Linked DNA regions of Bombyx mori. The protein of the gene in region 1 interacts with the protein of each later gene in a pairwise test. Links are inferred from orthologs where the notes say so. Each region holds a gene or a part of one and is shown on either strand. Other genes may lie near its edges.

Evidence for each region.
Region 2: the proteins of abl interactor 2 (region 1) and membrane-associated protein Hem interact in a two-hybrid assay, tested with the Drosophila melanogaster proteins (2 studies listed by BioGRID). The link is inferred for Bombyx mori from reciprocal best matches to the Drosophila melanogaster genes Abi and Hem.
Region 3: the proteins of abl interactor 2 (region 1) and actin nucleation-promoting factor WASL interact in a two-hybrid assay, tested with the Drosophila melanogaster proteins (2 studies listed by BioGRID). The link is inferred for Bombyx mori from reciprocal best matches to the Drosophila melanogaster genes Abi and WASp.
Region 4: the proteins of abl interactor 2 (region 1) and actin-binding protein WASF3 interact in a two-hybrid assay, tested with the Drosophila melanogaster proteins (2 studies listed by BioGRID, with this or other methods). The link is inferred for Bombyx mori from reciprocal best matches to the Drosophila melanogaster genes Abi and SCAR.

The regions. Positions count from the first base shown.
Region 1 is NC_085115.1:8,782,390-8,788,607, reverse strand, and holds the start of abl interactor 2, read left to right. Parts: upstream 1-1,943; 5' UTR 1,944-2,218; coding exon 2,219-2,651; intron 2,652-3,968; coding exon 3,969-4,157; intron 4,158-4,643; coding exon 4,644-4,768; intron 4,769-5,262; coding exon 5,263-5,338; intron 5,339-6,083; coding exon 6,084-6,151; intron 6,152-6,218.
Region 2 is NC_085115.1:11,706,121-11,712,436, forward strand, and holds the start of membrane-associated protein Hem, read right to left. Parts: upstream 3,896-6,316; 5' UTR 3,728-3,895; intron 3,496-3,727; 5' UTR 3,492-3,495; coding exon 114-3,491; 3' UTR 1-113. UniProt on the Drosophila melanogaster protein: Plays a role during growth of the oocyte.
Region 3 is NC_085121.1:15,501,572-15,507,250, reverse strand, and holds part of actin nucleation-promoting factor WASL, read right to left. Parts: intron 5,595-5,679; coding exon 5,495-5,594; intron 2,582-5,494; coding exon 2,447-2,581; intron 1,541-2,446; coding exon 1,421-1,540; intron 24-1,420; coding exon 1-23.
Region 4 is NC_085109.1:3,368,050-3,373,728, reverse strand, and holds part of actin-binding protein WASF3, read right to left. Parts: intron 1,378-5,679; 5' UTR 1,342-1,377; coding exon 1,220-1,341; intron 1-1,219.

The DNA.
Region 1 (6,218 bases):
GCTTAATTTGCATTTGGACTAAATTGGCAATACCTAAATCATGTGTATTCGTAGCAAAGTAATGCTTATACTGTATTTTTTAAATCTGAATGACCCTTATTATTTAATGGCTCCTTTTTTTTTTTTTTTTTTCTACCCTCAAGTCTCGAAATATTTGTAATGGCATGGCTAGGGCAAGTAGAAATGCAACACACCTGGCTGTTTGGCTGTGGCTCCTCGCAGCTGTTGGCCCTCGGCAGGATCTCGCCCGGCGGCCACATGATGGTCTCCGAGCCCATGTTGATGACTTTGATGTAGCCGTCTTCGCCGCGCAGCAGCGTCGCAGGCAGGGAGAAGGAAGCTCGTAGCCGTGAATCTCATGAAGCGCCGTGAAGCTCGTAGTGCCGCAGTGGGTTACTCCACGTTGTTGCTCTTCTAGTTTCCGTCCACGTGAACCAGAATGATGGAAGGACAGGGCGGCGGGCGCTCTTCGTCCGACGACGTCGATATTCCTTTGGTTTGATTGTTCCAGGTTCTTCATCATGTAGTTCAAGTATCGCCTTGTGGACCTCCTTCTGAAGCAAATTTTTCAACACCTTCCTCGCTGGTGGAATAGGAATTTCATCATCTTTTTTTTCCAACTTGTCAGAATACCGAGAGATCTGAGCGTGTATATGACGTTGTTTCATTTCTTTATGCCACTTCTGATTGTTGCAAATGATGTGACAATAAAAACCAGCAGCGTAACGATAAGTTCTTTTATTTGTGCAAGAATGCAGAAAAGTAGGTAGAAATGGCTGGCACGGCTTGTTTTATTAACACTATCCCCCCTTCGTTGGCTTTGGCTGGCGGCGGTGGCGGTGGCTGTGGCGGAAGGGGGCGTGTTAATATGGCTTGGCGGCTTGGCTGGCGGCAGGGCATGACAGCTGACGTCACGTCCGTTACAAAATACAGTTAACATAATTGACACCCGCCCGAATATGACGTTGGTTTTATTTCTCCATATTGGTTCACTTTTTCTAAGTAGCTTTTGGTCCTGTACCTAATTCCAGTATCAGGATAGATATTATTTTTTTATTTTGCTAGTTTTTTTTCCTATCTATTAGGGTATATTGTATGGTCGGTAGCCTAGGGCTAATTCAACTGCGCGCTGACTGGTATGTGAACTCATGGGTTCAACTTGGGAGGACTTCCTAACTCTAATCCTAGGCAGAGCAGTGCTTCGCTGAATCTACCACCAGAACGCTCAGGCTTATAAAAAGACAAGGTAAACTTGTCTTTATGGTGTAACGCAAATCGTGTGAATTTGTTGTGTATGCCGTATTTAAGTTTTTTATTTATTTATTGCTTAGATGGGTGGACGAACTCACAGCCGACCTGGTGTTAAGTGGTTACTCGAGCCCATGGACATCTATAACGTAAATGCGCCACCCACCTTGAGATATAAGTTCTAAGATCTCAGTATAGTTACAACGGCTGCCCCACCCTTCAAATCGAAACGCATTACTGCTTCACGGCACAAATAGGCAAGGCGGTGGTACCTACCCGCGCGGACTTACTAGAGGTCCTACCACCAGTGAAAATTTAAGTATTCATAGATTATTTTTGGCTAAAAAACTTGGTAAGTTCCTATTAAACCAAAAAATCCTGAATTGCAGGAACGGTGAGAAGATCTCAATTATTGCTTTACTTTCAAATTGGTTACAAAGTATGTGTACGCTAGTCACTAGCTTTATCTCGAAATAGCTGATTACCAAAACTTTTGAGTACCTAATGAAAACAATCGTCAACGTGAATTGTCAATCTTCAAAATAGATATTGCCACCTTATGATATTGTGTGGTGGAATTTACGCATTTGGATCTGCCGACCGAAATAGGTAAGTTAAAAATTAGACGGATTTGTGATTCTTTCGCTTTTTTTATTTTAGAAAATGCAACCTTTAATTGACATTGTTGACAGTAGCAGGTATGTCATTTTGTCAGAGGGCATACAAAATTTGACATACAAAAATTAGGGTGTGTTTGTAAATTTGTACATTCAATTTTCTTTTAGTGGGCACATAGTTTAGTAATAATTGGTATACCACCAATTAATTTGTGTTTTATCAATTTTGATATTAACATAATTGGCACAAAACGGTACATTTGGATATTAGTCAAATAAAAAAGTTGTTTACAACAATCTCTACAATACTTTAAAATTTTGGGTAATATTAACAAGGTTTCACAGCAGGAAATATGGCTGAGCTAGCAGCACTATTACAGACTGAAATTCCCGAAGGACGAAATCATCTCACCGATAGCCACACTAATCTTGAAAGGGTGGCAGATTACTGTGAGGCCAATTATTTTCAATCCGAAAATAAACGTCTCGCTTTGGAAAGTACAAAAAACTACACCACCCAATCATTGGCTAGTGTTGCATACCAGATTAATACTTTAGCATACAATTTCCTACAACTGCTGGAACTGCAGACCATGCAATTGGCTGAGATGGAAGGCCAGATGAATCACATAGCCCAAACGGTTGCCATACACAAAGAAAAAGTAGCACGTCGTGAGATTGGAGTTCTTACAGCAAATAAAGTCACCAATAGGCAATATAAGATCATTGCACCAGCAAACCCTGAGAAGCCAATAAAATATGTGAGAAAAAGCATTGATTACACAGGTATTTCATATTCTACACTTTGAATTACAAAAACCTTTTTATGAAATAGTTCAAATATCTATTTTCCCTATCCCTGGTAACCTCGAAGGGTAAAAGATAGGTTCAGTTTCACTGGCTTGGTAAGTAGGCATACAGGGCTAGCTTGTGAGTTTTCTAACACTTACTTTAGCAAGAGAAATGCTTTCCTCCAGCAGCCACTTTATTAGTATCGCAAGCCACTGAAAAAAAAACATTGATGGTATATAGAATGATGGTGTACATAATGTCCTGCTGAAGATTAAGAGAATCTATTAGATACAGGCCCCGCAAGACTGGCTATTATGGCCAACCTACAGGGTGGTCTATCTACAGCAGTGGCTGATGATGAAAATTATGACAAAATAATTTACATGTCTGCAGTACTTAACCCACAACAGTCTTAATGCTGCATGGTTACATAATAAACTTATCTGATTAAATTGTTTCATATTTTGTCAACAAGGTTGATGTGCACATTCCTCTTTAATTTTAAACAGGATTTTCTATTTAGAAACTACAATTACTATACTGTAAGAAAAATGCTGTTGGTTAAGTAAAAACCCTAAGCTTATTAGTCTATTAATTATTTACCCAATTTATTATGTGTACATAACAAATAATTGAAAAGTAATTACATTTAATATTGTTTAAGTCTTTGAAATGCTCTGTAGACAGAGGTCACGGTTTTTCTTGAATGCCCTGCCACTTCTTAGCTCTATACAGCATTTAGATGTGGCAGGGGAGTTACCCCTGTTTGACACTTTTAACATCACAAGAAAGATCTTTTGAAATGAAAAAAGGGACTGCAAAGTGTCAGGCAAAAATTTGTTTGGCTCTCTGAAACAGTAAAAGTAAAATTAATTTTTAATCCAAGTACAAGTCGACTTGTACTCTAAGACAATAAGAGTTCTTATTTGGAAGCTTTTTTTTTTCTACCTAAGCTGATAGCCTTGAGAGGCTATATCAGCGGAACCTTAACTAGTAGGTGAGCTCACGGAGCTCAAACCTGACGAAGTTGCTAACACGAACCCTAGCAAGAGCCGTGCTTTGCAGAATCTACCACCGGATCGGAAACGCGACCCACTGTGAAGATCCGGCGAGAAACTCAGTGGGTTGTATCTGAGGGTTAATTTACTCGTCGAGCCCTTCGTCGCAAGCGACGGGTTCGACGAGAACAGTGACCATTTGGAAGCCCTGCATGTTCTCTCTATTGAAAGTAAACTCACTTGGTGTGACTTATTTACCCTATTATAACTAAATAATATTAGTTGTTATATTACAAGCAATATTTTATTCTAGCTTTGGATGACATTGGGCATGGTGCTCACTGGAGTAGTGGGGCAACTGGAACACCGCGTGGGCGTCGCTCGAGCTCTGCTCCCGGGGTGGCTCCTCTACCGGCTCCAACAACCAAGCCTCCAACGCCACCTGCGGCTGTCAGGTCCTCATCAGCTGCCAACACTGGAACGCTTGGACGTGGAACATTAGGTAAAGGATCAAAAAGGCCGGTTTTTTGCACATAGAAAAAATTAACAGGACCTCGAGGTCTAGTAGCCTTTGACTTTAGGTTTCTTAGGTTAAATTTGGAAATACATTTCCTATATCAAGAATAATCAGGTACACAACTCTGCAATTTCTGAGCATGTTTCAGGGACAGTGTCACGAACTATTTCATAACATTCTAATAAAAAATTCACTAAAGAAAACTAAACTCCATATATAGTACTGAAGTTATTTAAATGAGATAATGCCCCAATTTCGATATTTTGTCGGCGGTCGGCATTATAGTGCCTTCATACCCATACAGATGACTGCTTTGCAGATCGGTTAGGGTGGTGCACGAGTAATTACAAAAACGAATAAATGATTGTAGATGATGATATTGTAGATTGTTGATTTTTTATTTAGTTGAAGGTAAAATGCTATTACTTATATTTATTATTTTCTAATTAAATTTATTAATATTTTTTCCAGGAAAATCTTCACGAGAATACCGCACTCCTCCTGCAGTAGCACCTCCTCAAGTTCCGTCACATTATGCACCAAACTATCCACGTCGCCCACCTGGCTACTCCACTTTGCCAGTTGCACAACCCCAAGTAAATATCAAATTACATCATATTTGACATAGAGTACATGTTCTGTATTTTGTAAATATTTGTAAGTGAGTATAACATACCAGAAGTTTGCCAGTGATCGAGGGTCGTGTGAGCCCACAAGGGTAGGTACTACTTCTCTACTTATTTATACCATGAAGCAGTAATATGTTCCGGTTTAAAGGGTGGTGCAGCTGTTATGTTATAGAACTGAGACTTAGTAGCCATGTATTAAGGTGCTTGTTCACCTTTCTAAGCAATAATACAATAAAAAAATAAATGATAATGTAATTAGGAGTAATTAACTCCAATACTTAGATATGCAAGTTGTAGATATACTTATAAGAGTTTTACCAAACATAGAATATATAAATATTATAATTATTATTATTATCAATAATTATATATACATATATTGTTATATACTGTTTGCTATACTGAATTTTAAATGTTTTATTTATTTATTTGGATTGTTATATCGTTTACTCTCATTACAGGTGGGCATGGTTCACCCGAATCAACATCAGGCACCAACAAACTATTCTCAACAGGAACTGCATTCCAGTATGCCACGTAAGTTTTAATGTACCTGTTATGTTAATTATTTACGTGGAAATCCATACTTTTGTCATTAATTTATATGTCATAATAATGTATACTCATGTTCGTTTACGGTTGTCATAAACTGACATAAGGCGATAGTTAGTGCCCCACAAGTCAACGCCAGATCAGCTGACAACGCTGAGAAACATTTGAAGGGTGGTAGACACAAATATCTATGGGATGTGAAATGGTTACCAAACCACATTTGGTGTAGTTCAATTCATGAAAAATAAGACTTAAACAACAGACAGTGTTGCATTGTCACGATCTTCATGCAAACTTATCAAAAATACATAGTTCTCTTATACCTGCTATTTCATTACATGGGTGCCAATGAAAAGCTACTTCATTTTAAACAAAATATCTATACTAAAAATATATTTTATTATTTTATGGTATAGACAGGTGAGTGAGCTCACGGTGGTGTTAGCTCTTACCGGAGCTCAGAGAGATTATAACCTCAATGCTTCCTTCCACCTTGAGACGTGAGGTCGAAATATCAATTACATAGTATATCAGCTTATATCTTAAATATCCTGTACCTGATATTTTCCAATAATCAAAAACTAACATTTATGTATAGTGGAACTGAAACAGTATTGTATATTAAGTGAAGTTACAAGGAAACGTTAGTGTTAAAAGTATAGGAATTAAAAGTATAAGTAAATTGTTAAAAGTAAATGTGGAGTATGTATTGTTTTTTGTACCTTTGCAGCTCCGCCGTCTCCTTTGATCGGATCTGACGGTGAACACAGTCAGCATTCTATGAGTCTTCCGGGACAGGTAGGAATCTCTATTACAGACAAAGACGTATTCAATAGTCACATACGAGGAGGAATCAAAAAGTAGT
Region 2 (6,316 bases), about 2.9 Mb from region 1:
CTTTTTGATTCAGAAACTGATCCCTTACACCCTGAATTTTAATAGTATATCTTTAAACCTAATTACAGTAATACTTAATGCTAAAACTTAATTTGTCTTTAAATACAATGGAATTACATATGCAGAAGCATCTGCTCTTGTTTATAAACTTCATGATAAGCATTACGTATCAATACATATGGAAAACATGACTCCAACAAATCCATTGTAAGAAAGGGTGACTCCTGCACTATCAAGTCTAATAGAAGATAAACTGATTCCCTATTCTTAGTAGCTTCTTTATCAGTTTCTTGCCCTAAACGAAGCAAAGATGATGACGCTAAAGCTAAGAATTCTTTCATTCGATCCTCGATATCGCCCTGGCCGCATATAGTGAATAGAGCTCCGAATATGTGGTTGATAGCTGGAGCTATACAGTGTATATTGTTAGCATGACCTTCCAGGGAAGGTCGATAGAAAGATACTTCACTCCGAGCTAGTCTAGGCAAAGACACAGCAACAAACACCATTAGCAAGCATACAATTAAATGCTCTTCCTCCTCAACTTCTGATTTTTGCTGACGTAAAGCTGATGCCAATGTTGGATCCACTTTGCACGGTAAGCCAGCAGCAGAACACATTTCTGAAATGACTCGCATTGGATCACCACTCGGCAGCTGTTGCTGGAAGTCTTTTATGGAACTTATCAAAAATGGAATACGCCTTTCTAAAACATCTAGTAATGACTCTTGAGCTATTTGTCTGAAACTCAATATGACTCCAATTATGGTCATCCGTTGTAGTACATTATCCACATTTTGCAATCTTTTGAACTGCTCTCTCATAATTTCTGGTTTATCAAAATTAGTCCTGAGCATCTGCAACACCTCTTTATTTTGTACAACCAGTTTCTTCAATTCCTGTACTTGACTTGCAATTTGCCACATTAGTGTTTCACTTAACAGTTTCATACCATAGGGCCCAATTAATTCAGCTAATGCCCTCAACTCATTAATATCAGAATATTCCTCGGCATTGAAGGGTATAGCACCTTCGGCTGTCAAACTAACAAATGCTTTTTGACTCATTGAAAAACAAATACTACCAGCACTGACCCGTCTCAGTAAAATCTCAGAGTACCACTGTGTATACAATGATGCAATGGTTTTTTCTTTATGACTATCCATATTTTGAGTTTGTTGTAAAAGACAATTATTGAAAACTCGTGTAATATCAATATGAACGTAATTTTCAACAGTTTGAAGCACATTCATATATGCACGAACACTAACAAGCAACTCAGAAGGCTTAGCAATTTCACTTGTGTCTTGGTTAAACATTACCATGCCAACCAAGGCCTTAGAGAATCTAGTTTCCAAATGTTGGTGCAAGTACTCTCGTGGTGCAAAAGTATACTCCCAAACATTTACAGTGGAACAATAATTTATAGCATAGCATAATTCTGTCAAAGCCATGTGAAGTTTGTCCATGGTTGTCAATTCTTCTCTGGTTTTTCTGTAACTTTCTGCTCCAGGCTTAACAATTTCAATTGTGTTTTTCTTATTTTTATCCTTCTTTTTTCTGTTAGCTAAATGAGCTATAGTTTGTGCACAATGTTTGGGTAGTAATTTATCACTCATAGTACACTGTTCATCACATATAGTGGTGATAATGTTTTTTGCTTCTTTTGCCATTTCATCCAAGAATATGTTGACTACTGACAAACTTCTCTCTAGAATGTGATGCCTCTCTTCAGGGCATAGTTCATGAGTACAATTTTGGAAATGACTACAAATAAGCGGGAATGCTATAATATACCGATTTTGTGCAGGGAACTCAAGACACATATGGAACTGATTTTCAAATATTTTGTTGTAAAAGCAAAATATTGACAGATCAGATGTTTCAACCATTATTTCATCAAGGTTATCTACCATTTTAGTATGGAATACCATTTTGTCTATAAACTGAGCCAGTTCCCTTTGATCAACAAGACTCAAGGGGGTTTTGACAACAGATGTATATGCTTGAAGTCTGAACCAATCTAAACGGAATGATCGAAAATCAAATGGCTCATTCTCTTCAACCTGTTTGACACTCAAATTTGCTGCAGTAGTACATAAAGATGATAATATTATACTTTCGTCTTCAGGACATACCTTCAAGTTCTGAATCATCATGTTCAATGCTACAGCATCAAAGCCTGAAAGGTATTGCACATAGTATCTCTGCATTACCTGACTATATTTACGAACCAATGCTCTTAATTCTTCCATGTGGAACAAAAGTTCAGGAAGTTGACGGTCTACCAAATCTTCTGCAGATTTTCCCTTCACTTTTTGTGGTGGGTTATCATTATGTCGCAACAGCCAAAATACTTCATCTCTTGCATAGCAGAGGCCAATGAAAATCAAAAGAGCTTTTGGGCCCAATAATCCTGGTTGATCAGTCAATATTAGACCCAGTTCTTTCAAAGCTGTTCTTAAGAATTTTCTCCTCTCTCTGTGTTTGTATCCTGCTTTTTGTACTGCATGATGGTAACAATCTTTTACTTCAGATATTCTTTTGCCATAGCCTTTTATGCTGTCAAAGAAACCTTGTATATAGCTGTGAATGTAAATCACTTCATCTCTAAATAATGCCACAACCCATCCTGACTCTAGTGCATTGACCCACATTTTATTAGCATGGTCCTGCTGGAGCATCTGATGACAGAGTGCAAAACCAAATATGACCCACCTCTCCAAAGACTCCAATGATACATACTCACAAGACATTGTGTTTGTTTCTGATGGTTTCAGTAACTGAGCTGGATTACTGACTAAGCTTAGCTTTTGCTCCGATCTCCAATGTTCAGCAGAAAGATTTCTAGCTGGATACACATGCCATAGAGAATTTAATGCACTTGCTAGTACTTTTTGATGTGGCACAAATTCTTCAGACAATTTCTTCAATGGAGCATCATAATCAACAATCAACTGTCCCAAACGGGGAAAACTATTCTCAATTTGATTCTGTAGCAATTCATATGCAGCATTAAATAAACCTAACACTGCTTTTCTATCTTCAACTCGAGACAACAATATCATTAGTGTAACATATGTTAAAACCAAGTCAAGATAGTTTTTTGTCAATTCAAAATTCAATGTCAAGTCTAAAGTAACCTGACATGCATCTATGATGTTAAGAAGTTCACAAACATTGTCTTTAAAATCTAACAAATCTACAAATGTGTAATAATATAGCGACAATGATTTGATTACTTCATTCCGTATTGGTGTAATTGCTTGGAGTCCTTTAACGTCAATGTTGGGAAATCTCCTAACTATGTGCTTAATTGATGACTCCAATGCTTTATCAGATAGAAATGCTGGTTTCGATTTGGCATCTCCACAGGCTTTCTTAATGTTGTAAACTCTTGTTAAAATACCAATACCTCTGTCATTCAGTATAATTAGCTTCTCAGCTAATTTTTGCTGACTAATATTCAGGGATCTTGATAATGTGGACATATTTCTGCAATAAAAAGGTACGCGGATTCACAACTATGAAAGATAATGATAATACAATAATGTTATTTCCTATCTATTAGAATTACACAACTTAGGATTTCCGTTCAAAGGGGAATAACAAATTGTTGCTGTATTCATTCGAGAAGATGATCAATGATGTGAGATCATGATTTACTAAGTCAAGATATCTAACAAGACCAGATAATGTTTTATGTTAATAACCGCGCGAGCCGTACCTTGCTAATAATGTAGCGAGTCACTTTATCTAGAAGTCAACTAATACACATGTTTCTGTGTACACTATATTCAAACTATCTATGTTGGACGTAAAAAATCTCTCAATAAATTAAAATTAGGGAGTGTCAGACCACAACATATTAAGTGTATAATCTATGACCACAACAGACTGTTTAACATAGATTATTTTTAAGGGATTTTATGACCTGGTAACTAAGACCTTTAGGTCATGTCTTATTTTAATTTATATTCTTAATTTTACATATGAAAATTGATAATATGGAGTGAAAGGAAATCAAGATGACTAACTTGAGACATTAAATAACGGGGATGAAATTAAATGAAATGATATGGGATGCAATATAATTTCAGTAAAATGGTGGTCATTTACTGAAATTTTTTCAGTGGACTTTTTGGAGGATCCCTCGAAGTTACCTCCAGCGGCTTTATTTCATTTTCATTAATTTCATTATTACATAATAATATATAAACCTGAAGAAACATTAAATAGAGAAAATAAAACAATTCACACAACTTCACTCCTTGCGTTCCCGCCAAAAAGTCACCACTATAATTGTATTTTTTTTAAGGGATTTTATGACCTGGTAACTAAGACTTTTAAGTCATGTCTTATTTTAATTTATAATATATTTTTATGAAAAATGATATTATGCAGTGAAATGAAATGAAAAAGTTTTTTTGAGACATTAATCAACTGGGATGAAATTAAATGAAATGAGATGAGATGATATGGGATGAAATATAATCTCAGTAAAATGGTGGTCATTTACTAAGATTATTTCAGTGGACTTTTTGGAGGATCCCGAGAAGTTACGTCCAGCGGCTTTGTTTCATTTTCCCACATTTGTGCACTTTCACAGATATTAAACGAAATTAAATGAAATGAGATGAGATGATATGGGATGAAATATAATCTCAGTAAAATGGTGGTCATTTACTAAGATTATTTCAGTGGACTTTTTGGAGGATCCCGAGAAGTTACGTCCAGCGGCTTTGTTTCATTTTCCCACATTTGTGCACTTTCACAGATATTAAACAGTTAATAAACCACCATTATTACACATTTAAACCTGAAGAAACACTAAATAGACAAAATAAAACAAATCACACAACTTCACTCCTCGCGTTCCCGCCAAAAAGTCCACTATAATTGTATCTTGTCTCACTCACACAGATTACTACTCTCGTCGGCTATATTTTTTCCGTAAGGCAATCGCCTTCTTGCGATGCCTTTTTTGGGAAGGAAGTACTACTGGTGGCCCGGAGGCGTTTCCAGTTTTACCAAGACATGTGGGTGACCACAGACTTAACCAAGAATGATGGGATTTGCTAACAGCTGCCCGAGCGCCTCCGGAGGAGACTTAACAAATCAAAGACAACTACTTCGCGAATGAATCTACTACCGCATTGAAATCGCGGCTCCCTGAGAAGACTCGACAAGAAACTCAGCGGGCTGGGGCGGTTGGGTTGCACGCCGAACTCTCTGCCGAGTTTGACCAGTCGGTAGAGCACTTAAGCTGCTCCCAGTGCTAATTAGAATTGAAGGGGCTTAATGCTAGAGTTAATGTATCTGTTAAATGCGTAAGGACGTTTTCGATACCATTATTACTGGCGTCGAGTATAAATAGTCTGCAATTTTAACGTGACACATTTAACTTTTTTCAAGAAGAATGAAATGAAGCGGACTAAAAGAAGTTGTTTCATCTGTAAATGGTAATCAAAAGGGATGAAATTTTATGAAATAAAAGAATTTAATTCCATTAAAATCAGATGACATGAGGAGAAATCTTGTAATGTGTGTTACTGAGACTTCAGGTAGGACAGGAGTACAAAAAATGTTTATGGTTTGTGTATAGTCTACAGAAGTTTGTGTCATATACAGAGTGTCCCAGAACTCAACATCTAGCCGAATCGGGGTGACAGGATTGATTGTAACCATGCGTTTGTTATCAGCAAATGTCCCTACACGTAAATTCAACAATTCCTGAATCACGGTCATAAGATGTCACACAGTTGATAGATGTTCTCGTATTTCTCTTGCTAAATCAAAAGAATGGAAAGCAGTCGACATCACCCCAAACACGTCATTTCGGATCCTCCCGATCCACTAACGGTGCTTTTAGGTACCTCAAGCACCGATCACCGTTCCCGTCGAACCCGTCGCTTGCGAGGAAGGGCTCGTCGAGTAAATTAACCCTCAGACACAGCCCACTGAGTTTCTCGCCGGATCTTCTCAGTGGGTTGCGTTTCCGATCCGGTGGTAGATTCTGCGAAGCACGGCTCTTGCTAGAGTTCGTGTTAGCAACGTCGTCAGATTTGAGCCCCGTGAGTTCACCTACTAGTTAAGGTTCTGCTGAAATAGCCTCGCAAGGCTATCAGCTTAGGTAGGAAAAAAAAAGCTAAATCATACTTACCTGGCGTAGGGATACCGTGATTATGCAGGCGGTTTCCACAGGGTGAGGCTGCTCCATTGCACTGCGGGTTGGTTGATTCTTGCGATTATTTTAATTTTTATAAGTTTCACTTCTACCGTGTCACACGTAATGTGTGTGACATGCACACACACA
Region 3 (5,679 bases), on another chromosome or scaffold:
CTGTGTGGTCTCCACGTCGAACCCTGAAAACGTTAATATATTTATTAATTCGATAGGTGAACGAGCTCACAGCCGACCTGGTGCTAAGTGGTTACTGTGGCCCATAGACATCTACAACGTAAATGCGCCACCCACCTTGAGATATAAGTTCTAAGATCTCAGTATAGTTACAACGGCTGCCCCGCCCTTGAAACCGAAACGCATTACTGCTTCACGGTAGAAATAGGCAGGGCGGTGGTACCTACCCGCGCGGACTCACAAGAGGTCCTACCACCAGTAATAAGAGGTCCTACCACCAGTTCAAATCCAAATCTATCCTATCCAAATCTCGAAAGTGGAATCATTGTGATGAGGGTGTCTGCACGGGTGGACATCACCAGGTCCTGGTGCGAATCAGTCGCGAAGGGATCCTGTGTATCGCTGTGACCACTGCTATTGTAACATAACTGAGACTTGGACTTCATGGCTACAAATGAAGAGGCGACGTTGTGCGACTATCGGTTATCTATACTAATATATAAATCTACAGTGGTTTTTATTTTACGGATGTTCCGTTATAACTACTGAACCATGCATCCGATTGACTTGAAACTTGGTATCCATGTAGAATATGCATGTACTTAATGGATAGGCTAATATTTATATGAGTGTTGAACTCCCTACACCAGTTACGGGGGTGTTAATGATGAGAATCTTTGTGGGGGTGAGAAATAATAATGTTAATTTTAAATGCCCAGCGAAGCGGACCGTTACAGCTAGTCATTTATAAAAATAATGTTCAATGTGCTTAGTGCGAGTTTTTTAACGTTCTCGATGGCCTGATAGTTAACTCCAATTAGTATGCAGTTGGAACTGTTATATTATATGTACAGAGTACTGAACCCTAAAATGCTGATACCCTCAAACCGCTGACTAGACGGTTCGAGGTAGAGACTTTAAAGGAGACCGGAGAACAGTCAGTAGAGAGTGAACTGTCTTAGAGTACGGGTGCGGCTCTCGCGGTTACTCTGAGAATTACGTATATCATCCATATTGTATAAATAAAATAAAATAGTTCGAATCTTAAAAGTTTCCTTTTTTTAAAACGACCTCAGAGTAAATTCCCATAACAGAACGTTTGCCTACGTTTGCCGCTAGGGGCGCTGTTATAACTGCATACAAAAAGTTAACTTTTATGCTATCGAGAGCGTTAAAAAACTCGCACTAAGCACACAATAAAATTTTGTTTCATTTAATTTTATCCCAATCGATTAAATAGTCAAATCAATTAACTTCATCCTATTTTACTTCATATAACAGAATATTAGTATGTATTTTACAATTGAAGATTTTTATGAACTCGACACTGGCAACAATGGCGTCGCAAGAAGCCAATTGCCATACCTAAAAAAAAAAGGAGAAAAAGAAAAGATCCACGCACCTTTATCTTTATCCCATCCGATGTGAGAAACGTGCGTGAAGTTGTGAGGCATCCCGATGTCGGCTTTAGTCAATTTCCTTGTCGTTTTCCGTTTTCCGGAGCTCTTCAGTGTGTACGTACCTGGGCGATCATTACAAGTTATTACACATACTCTCTGATACATATTGTAGATGTTGCACTAAAATTCGCATGTCAAATAATGACAAAGCATACACGCTGCTTTTAACTTATGTAATAACTCATTATTTTTTTATTGCTTAGATGGTGGACCCAGCCCACCTGGCGTTGAGTGGTTACCGGAGCCCATAGACATCTACATCGTAAATGCGCCACCCACCTTGAGATATAAGTTCTAAGGTCTCAGTTATAGTTACAACGGCTGCCCCCCCCTTACACCGACACGCATTACTGCTTCACGGCAGAAATAGGCAGGGTGTTGGTAACTACCCGTGCGGACTCACAAGAGGTCCTATCACAAGTATAAAACCACCACTATGCTTAGCGAATAAATGATTTCTTTCTTTCTTTCTTAGAATGTCATAGAATGCCATTGATCTAACACAACACACAACATAGCAGCGAAAAAATCCCTTTACTTAGGTCGCCCTTTTCTTGGGGTCTTAGTCTTGGGATCTTCAGTGCGGTATCCCGGAGCACCAGAGGTACCGCCCGGGCGCCCGGGCGACGGGACGGGCCGTCGTCCGTCGGGCGTCCTAGTAGTGGCGCAGCGAGTCTAGTTGTAGTGTTGACCACGGGAACCACTCTGCCCGGGTTCTGAGCTCGAGTAAAGATCGGACATGCCGTGAGAGGGTGCAAAGGGAGTAGTTTGGTGGGTAGGACTTTAAAAACATCGTAGGCTCGCGATCTGTTCCCGAAATCTGCGTACCGTCAAGACCCACATACCCCGCGCGCCCCTTGGACGCGAAATGCGTGAAGATCGCCTCCCCCCGCCTCGCTAAAAAGTCGGCATTACTTTACATCAGATGATCATGAATATAGGAATATAATATTATAAGTAGTTTTCACCTGCTAAATTCGTTTTCGGTGGGAGTACGGGTGCAGGTTCCGGTTCCGGTGCCGGGAGCGGGGGTAGGACGCCATTTTGTCTCGGCTCCACCACGCTACTGGCCCGTGCCGCCGTTAAGGCACGTTGCCTCCTTTCTGAAAAATACGAATGGTTTTTTATACGTTATTTACATCCTGGCTTACGAAAGCAAACAACCAACAACACACGAGAACAATCACGGGTACTAAGTGGAAACTATTTCCTTCACATCTCTGAATTTTTACTTTTTCAAGCTTCTAAAACACTAAAATGTTATTTCTAGTCGCTATTCCGAAGATTACTCAAAATCTATATATATAAAAGAAAGTCGTGTTAGTTACACTATTTATAACTAAAGAACGGCTGAACTGATTTGGCTGAAAATTGGTGGGGAGGTAGCTTACAACCAGGACAAGGATACCTTTTATCACGTTTCCGTGGTACGTGACGTAAAACGTGGTATAACAAAACGCAACTGATATGGAATAACAAAACGCAACTGACAGCTAAACGTAATGTAGTCTATGGTTAATTATAGTAGAATTTTGAAGTTGACCGGTCGATGTGTTCGTTTCCAGTTTCTATTAGCTTATTGTGCTGAGACAAGTAATCATTAAGAAAGCCATACCGCGACCAACACGATCAAATCTTTCCCGACGAAGCCGTAATGCAACTAGTATTCGAAACATTGCGAGTGAAGCGACTAAAGAAGAAACAAGAAATAAAAATATAACAATAATAACTAAAATACATTAACAATAAAGAATCATTAAAATACTTGCTTTTTTAATTTACACTAATTATCCAAATAAAAAATTGACCTGATAAAATCAAGTCTGCTCATTTATTGCCTCTAAGACGGAACAAAGTTCGTCAGATCTGTCAAAGTCAAAGATAAATAAAATATAAGAAAACCTTATTTATTTGTATTGTGTGTGTGTTTTATGGCCTTCATATACAGGCGAGCTATCTTCTCTTATCATTTTATCGTCTCTGATGGACATTAGCATTATACAGCCAAGTCGCTACCTACGACTGAAGACTATTTTCGAGCTTGGTTTAGAGAAAGACATATCATAGCGCTCAGTTATAAGAGCCGAGCGTTCATTCCAGAACTACATGGTTTCATTTGTAAAGCTGCTCTTGAGTTGTTAGGTCTCCTCCGGAGGCGCTCGGGCGGAGTGTTAGAAAGTTTTTTACTGGTTGTAGGACCTCTTATGAGTCCGCGCGGGTAGGTACCACCGCCCTGCCTGTTTCTGCCGTGAAGCAGTAATGCGTTTCGGTCTGAAGGGTAGGGCAGCCGTTGTAGATGTCTATGGGCTCCAGTAACCACTTAACACCAGGTAGGCTGTGAGCTCGTCCACCCATCTAAGCAATAAAATAAATATTAAACAAAAACGGAAAAGCCTCCAGGCCACCAGTATACCTTCCTTCACAAAAAAAACCCGTTGCTACATCGCAAAACGCACTGTCGATGAACGCAGCAATTCCAAGTGGACGGTATGAACTCTTATTTCGGTGTCAGATGATGCAATTATAAAAGAGATGACGACATCATCTCAAACAATTCCTCGGTCGGAAATAAATACTTTTCTCTCTTCTACTACTTCTCCGTAAACAACTTCGGAAGGTACGTATTCATTGTAAAACTAGCAACGCCAAGTTCAAAGCGGGGTAGAGTCCATCTCTCCTATATCAAATTTGTTATTTAATAATTCACTTTTATTTTTATTTGCCCTTGTAGGCGGCGGACGAGCATACGGCCCGCCTGGTGGTGAGTGGTTACCGTCGCTCACGGACGGTAGAGCCAAACCGCTGCCTACCGAAGCCTCGACCATTTGATTCAATTATAGTATAATATTTTTACTTTAAATTGTGTTATAACATATCACCTGTATTGTGAGACAATGTATGACATGATACAAATATTACGAACGGTGTATTTACAAATAAATATAGACGTACTTAAATCCGACAAGTACAATGAGGAGTCTTTTAATAAACAATGCACGCACAACAATGACAAACGTGATATCGGTAAATGCGCTCGTCTTGTGACGTCACGTGCAGTGTGACCACACTAAACGAAGACCTGAGACAATAAGTTTTTTGGAACGAAGTTCCTTATGGGACGATGCGGAGGAGTACCCTAACCGGGAAAAAACGTCCGTAACGTAAGATTTTTATTAGTAATCCACACAGTGTACGACTTAACTTTGTAATAACGTACAAAAATAACATTTTTTATCATTCATTGACCACGATCTCTGAGCGTTCATTTGCGCAATACTCTTATGCAAACAACCGTGAATGAAGTGTACCACAATAAGTTCGCACGTTACCGAATGACCGTGGGTTGTTGCGAAACCTCCAGTTTTATTTTTTATTTTCTTTATACCTCAAATAGAACTTTAAATTAATATTTTTATATTAATAAGGAACTTCGTTCCTATCCAGTGTCCCACGACACCACACATCTTTTTTATTAGATTGTCTTTAAGGCAAGACTAAAAGAAACTAAACCGTAATGAAGCAAATCATTCATGTCAGTTGTGCATCGTGTTTTGGAGAGTACGACAGTAGTCATGAAATACCATTGACAGTTAGACATCAAACTTTACACTCGATGGGCTGTAAGTTAAATCAAGTCAGATAAGACAGTAAAAAACAACAATTTAATTGTATTGTAAAAGTTAAATGAAGCTATATAGATTTTATTATAAGTAATCGTCGAGTGAATAGCAACAAACATATAGTAAAGCATTATGTGGCCAAGGCAGTGCCACAGATCAGAATTCGTAATTTCCTAAGACATGCATTTGGCTTTGACGATTATGCTTGCGATTTCATTTTTTGAAACAAAGTAATACATACATATTTTATTTATCGTAATTTAATTTTGACTCAAAAGATAATGCGAAATCGCTCGACTTTAATTTGATGAGGCCTAATAATGAGAACAAGAAAAAGGGTCGCTGAATGTTAATGAAACAATATTTAGGGTAAATACTGTAAGTAGTGAAATTTACCTTCTCTTCTCGTCTTCCTTAATTCAATCTTCTCGATTAGAATCTTCTTTAGGATCTGAGCTTCTTCTTCATTGGCAAAGTTGAATGCTGTCATGTATTCCTAAAACAGTGGTGTGCACCTTAATTGATAATTAATTTAGGCAACAGGAAACCGGACAGTCAATTGATTATGAGTTTGCTGCGAA
Region 4 (5,679 bases), on another chromosome or scaffold:
TAGACATCTACGGCGTAAATGCCGCCACCCACCTTGAGATATAAGTTCTAAGGTCTCAAGTATAGTTACAACGGCTGCCCCACCCTTCAAACCGAAACGCCATTACTGCTTCACGGCAGAAATAGGCAGGGTGGTTTTCGATTAATGTTTCGAGAAAATTATCTCTTCCTTCTTGAAGAGTCATTTCACCGGTTTCTGCTAATTGAAACCCACTGTGACATGATGGAATGACTATACAACTATCATATTTTATATTAGTGGTACAGGACTGAAGACCTAAGGGTATTCGAATTACGACTGACATGTTCCTTGACACGAGGTATTATGAGACTGGATCATTTCATTCTCAATCTATTCATTATAGACAAAAACAAAATAGCTAAGAAGTACCATTTTCAACTCTGTTTATCAAGCAATGTTTATTTGTTTGTATGTAATGGAATCTTTGAACGACATTTTCGCCAATCAAGACGTCCGATTAACTTGAAAATTTGCATACGCGATTCAATAGCAATAAAAAAAAAAATTCGCTCTATAATCCGAACCAGTATCAACAGGATAAAAAAAAATGAAATTAATCATTATTAACTCGGTTAGCTATTTAAGCTTGTTCTTTTTTTTAATTTATAAACTACAAATTCTTTTAATAATAATTCTTTTAATAATAATTAGAAACATTAACGATCTTATTGTTATTAGTAAGAATGAACAGATATGAGTAGAAGGGTTATTTTGATAATATCCAGAAAAGCATCCCACGCTTTTTTACAATAAAATCACTTTTTCTTACACTATTTTTAATTCAAATTTATTAAAATTTATTTTCTATTTTTTAGTTGGATTTTCTATAAAAGCGTATTGTGTAAGTTTTTTTAAACCATTATTTATTTTTCATTTTTTAGTTGAATTTCGATTTTATAATTATTTTTTTTTTCAATGATTTGTCATTGGTCCTTCTTAATAAGTATGCCAAATTTCGAGTTAATCCGACATTTTGAAGGGGGTCAAAATCATGTTCAAAGATTCCGTTACATACATACGTCTGAAGCTAATAAAAACGTATTAAAAAATAGAAACCGTTTTTTGTTATGTTTATTGAAATCTTGAGATGTCAAAGGTTGCGGTCAAATTTCGATCGATCATTAGTTGAAAGTTAGATTTATTATGTAATTTAATGCGTAGTAAGGTGGGGGTCTAGGGAACGTTGTATAGTACGCACCTGACAGTGTTCGCAAGGGTGCCATTGGTGACGGCCTCCAGTTCCGAAGGCACCGAGAGCCGCTCCGGTACCGTGCCCCGGGACACGTGCACCGGCTCCACGCAGCGCTTCGGCAGCGGCATGGCTGCGTCCACCTCCCAGCTACCTCGTCTGCATCACTGCTCAGAAAAATTACACCGTATTACACATTTACAGATCTGTAAAGAAAGAATGTTTACAATCTAGGACCTCTTGAATCCGCACGGGTGGGTACCATCGCCCTGCCTATTTCTGCCGTGAAGCAGTTATGCGTTTCGGTTTGAGGGCGGGGCAGCCGTTGTAACTATACTTGAGACCTTAGAACTTCTTTCTATCTCAAGGTGGGTAGCGCGTTTACGTCGTAGACGTCTATGGGCTCTAGTAACTACTTAACACCAGGTTGGCTGTAAGCAACCATCAAAGCAATAAGAAAAAATAAGAAAAAAAATCAGAAGCGTCTTGCAACGTCTTAAAACAAAGGCAGATAATCGATCGCCGACACAAAAACAAAATAAAAATGCATTGAATTAAAATAAAACTTATTTTAATTCAAATCTAATCAACCTATTAACGTAGAAATCCATTCCTCTTTGAAGGGAAAAATTACACGGTATTACATTTACAGATCTGTAAGGAAAGAATGTTTACGATCAGAAGCGTCTTGCAACGGGCACTTCTTCTGCGAATAACGCGCTTAAAACAAAGGCAGATAATCGATCGCGGACACAAAAACATAAATGCACACATCATTGCACATCATGCACATGTCATTTTAATTCAAATGTAATTTAACGTAGAAATTTACTACTTTGAGGGCATTACAAAAGCCTACACAGGTGAAACTGAAATGTGCGAATGTTTTACTAAGACATACACAAGATGCTACCACAGTTGATTCAAAATGCTTTTTCTATTCATTGATATTGTTATTAGTGGACCGGGCGCATTGCTGCCGTGTACCATAAGCGTTTGGGCTTGAAGGGTCAAGAAGGAGATGAAACAATAATTATGCAACAGAAGGGACTTCATATTTTAAGAGGGGTGGCCGCATTCACGCTATGTAGCCTATGGGCTCCGTTAGCACTATAGACCGTGAGCTCGCTCATATATTTACGATATAATTTAAGAATTATTTCCCGACATTAGAGCCACAAGGTCGGTGATATCAATAATTTGAAAATATTATTGTATTTTATTTACATCGATAGTAGTTCATTAATAGCTCGCTGAAAACAGTCACGTTCCGCCGTGATAATCGTTAATTGTATGCAAAACACACATTTATAATGTTCACACTTATCATGGAGGAACTTGCTCCTATCCTTTGCCACATAATAAATTTTTCTCTTGAGTCCAGTTCCTTTCCGTCACTTTGGAAAAAGGCTCATGTCCTACCCTTACCTAAAATTGCAAAACCTTCTTCTTTATCCCATTACCGTCCCATCTCTATTCTTCCGATCTTTTCCAAAGTCCTCGAGAGCATTGTTCAAAAACAACTTTCTTTTTACCTCTCTTCGAATAACCTACTGAGTCCGTATCAATCTGGATTCCGTCCAGGTCACAGCACTGTCACCGCGTTGGTGAAAATCACCGATGATATTCGCTTGGCCATGGAGCGGAAATCAATTACTATTTTGGTTTTACTGGACTTCAGCAATGCTTTTAATTCAGTTGATTTTGACATTCTTCTCGGTATCCTATCCTCTCTTAATGTCTCGTCTTCGGTAATTCAGTGGTTTAATTCTTACCTCCGTGGACGCTCGCAGTCGGTTCGCTACGAAGAGTCTTTCTCTGAGTGGTGTGACCTCACTGCGGGTGTTCCACAGGGTGGCGTACTTTCTCCTCTCCTCTTCTCTGTGTTTATAAACACAATTTCTCAATCTATATCTTCACACTTCCATCTCTATGCAGACGACTTGCAGCTATATCGCCATACGAGGGTTGCTGACGTTGGGGCTGCCATTTCGGCAATCAACGTGGATCTCTCTGCGATTTACAACTGGGCAAAGTCCTTTGGTCTTTTGGTGAATCCTTCGAAATCGCAAGCTCTCATTGTTGGTGGTAGATATATGTGCGGCCTCCTCGATTACAGCTCGTTAGCGCCCATCCTCTACGACAACGTTCCGATAGCGTATTCGAAATGTGTAAAAAATCTAGGTTTATACATCGACAGTCACCTCTCGTGGATTAATCACGTTTCCGAAGTAAGCAGAAAAACTGTTTACTCCTTTCAGTCTCTGAAACGCCTTCAAAAATTCTTGCCTCTTCGCACTAAAATTTCTCTTGCCCAAACGCTTTTACTTCCTCTTCTCGATTATGCTGATAACTTTTTTCTAGATGCTTCTGAATTGCTTTTAGATAAACTCGAACGTCTGCAGAATTTGTGCATCCGCTTCATTTTTGGTCTCCGGAAGTATGACCATGTGTCTGATTTCCGGGCTGAGCTGGGGTGGCTGCCGATTAGGCGACGTCGTGATTGCCACATTCTCTCTTTTCTCTATTCTATTCTTCACAATCCCGATGCCCCTATCTATCTCCGTGAACGCTTTGAATACCTGATTCCTGACGGCAGAGTTAGTCGACAAGCCACATCTCTTCTTTTAAAAACTCCCATTCACAGCTCTAGCCGCTATAGTGGCTCTTTCACAATACAAGCAGTGCGATTATGGAATTCTCTCCCTCAACCTATTCGTGCTAGTTCCTCTCTAGAAGTTTTTAAGAGTCAAATGAAGAAATATTTCCTGTCACTTTAATTGTATTTAAGTTATTGTTTTATGTATGTTTATTTATATGTATTTTTCATTTTATATTAGTTTTTTTTTTTTTAAAGCTTAGTTTAAAAATCATGCTTTAATAGCTTTTATATTGTACACTATTCCCCTCTTATACATCGTATTTCACTCTGCTATTGGTTTGCTGGAAGAAAACTCATGAATGAGTTAAGCTCGCCTTTGTACATAGTATTTAGACATTCTTTAAATCTGTTTTTTTATTGTATTTTCTTTGTGTGTACAATAAGAATAAATAAATAAAAATAAATAAATAAATTTATTATTTATAAATTACTCGCGCTCCACCTACTGTAAGTTAATTATACTATGCCTAAAACCTAAAATGGTATGGCAGTGCATAAAATACGAACAAACAAACGAACAGCAAAAGACAACATCATTTTTATTTATTAGATTACTCGATATATTATAGTGGTGGTTGAAAATAATGGAAGGTACGCAACTGACAGTATTCGCAAGAGCATCGTCACCGGACATCAAAGAACCTACACTCTAATCCGTATAAAAAAACATTTTTATCTTTTCAAAAAGCAACCCAACCATATTTCTGATGTGTACATCTTGTTTGAAGCTAGCTTAGAGTAATTCCCCGTAAAGAAAACGCTTGGAGGGGGGCGCGAATAAAAGTTGTCGAACACATAAGGGGAAAGGTCGGGAAAGCGACATTTAAATATTCGTTTCCAATTATATAACCTGTTTTTGTCGGCTTTCTGTAAGTACGGACTTCTGTAAGAATCGAAAGTACGCTTGGAAAGTCCGACACTTGGGTTTTGGTCGTTACCTGAATTATTGAAGCGAAACATTAAGACTCCTCAACGTGGGTTACATTGGAGTGTCTGTCGCTCGACTGTTTTCCGGAGTTTCACGCTTCGCACGTGTTTCTTATACCGGTCACTCACATTCGCACGAATACGCAAACCCGCAAGTGTAGGACAACATTTGCAAATGATTATGCAAAGTTTTCGCTGCATTCGTGATTTTCCAAGCTGTATCGGTTTTGTAACAGACATCAAAGCGCGCGAACCGCGTTCCTCCGCGTAGTCTCCCACACATTCGTGTGACCAGTTGCGCCCAGGATTGCGAAGGCAACGGACGTTCGCTATTTTCATAGATCGTGACGTCTACTGTGTAGCGTATCTTCATCAAAATAAATCCCATAAAAACAGCATGGTTGTTCATGATGTCTGGGAAAGAATTCAAAACTCTTTTTCTCTTCAATGTTCTATTGACGAATTAAAAAGGAGGAGAAATTCGTGAGACATTCGTAAACAAGTGTAGGAGGAAGCGCAACCGGGTTCGCAAATTGAGTTCCGAACCCATTTGCACAGCCGCTAAGTTTGCCAATGAATGTTTGACGGCCCTTCACATGCGCGCAAACATTCGTACAATGTACGAATATTTGCGCGCATGTGAGTGGCCGGCATTACGATAAAATATTAGTAAAGTTGGCGTGTGCATTTACAAAGCGATGTGTGGCGTGTTAGACACGATGCGTGCTGTTCTATTAAAGTGACGAACTAATTTCGTTTCCGTTATCACGTCATGATCGTATTAGATTTGAATAAACACATACGTTCTTAATACGATTAGCTAGTAGTGGCATCCGCAGAATACATATTGGGTAATTCATAACAAACAAAAAAAAACAGG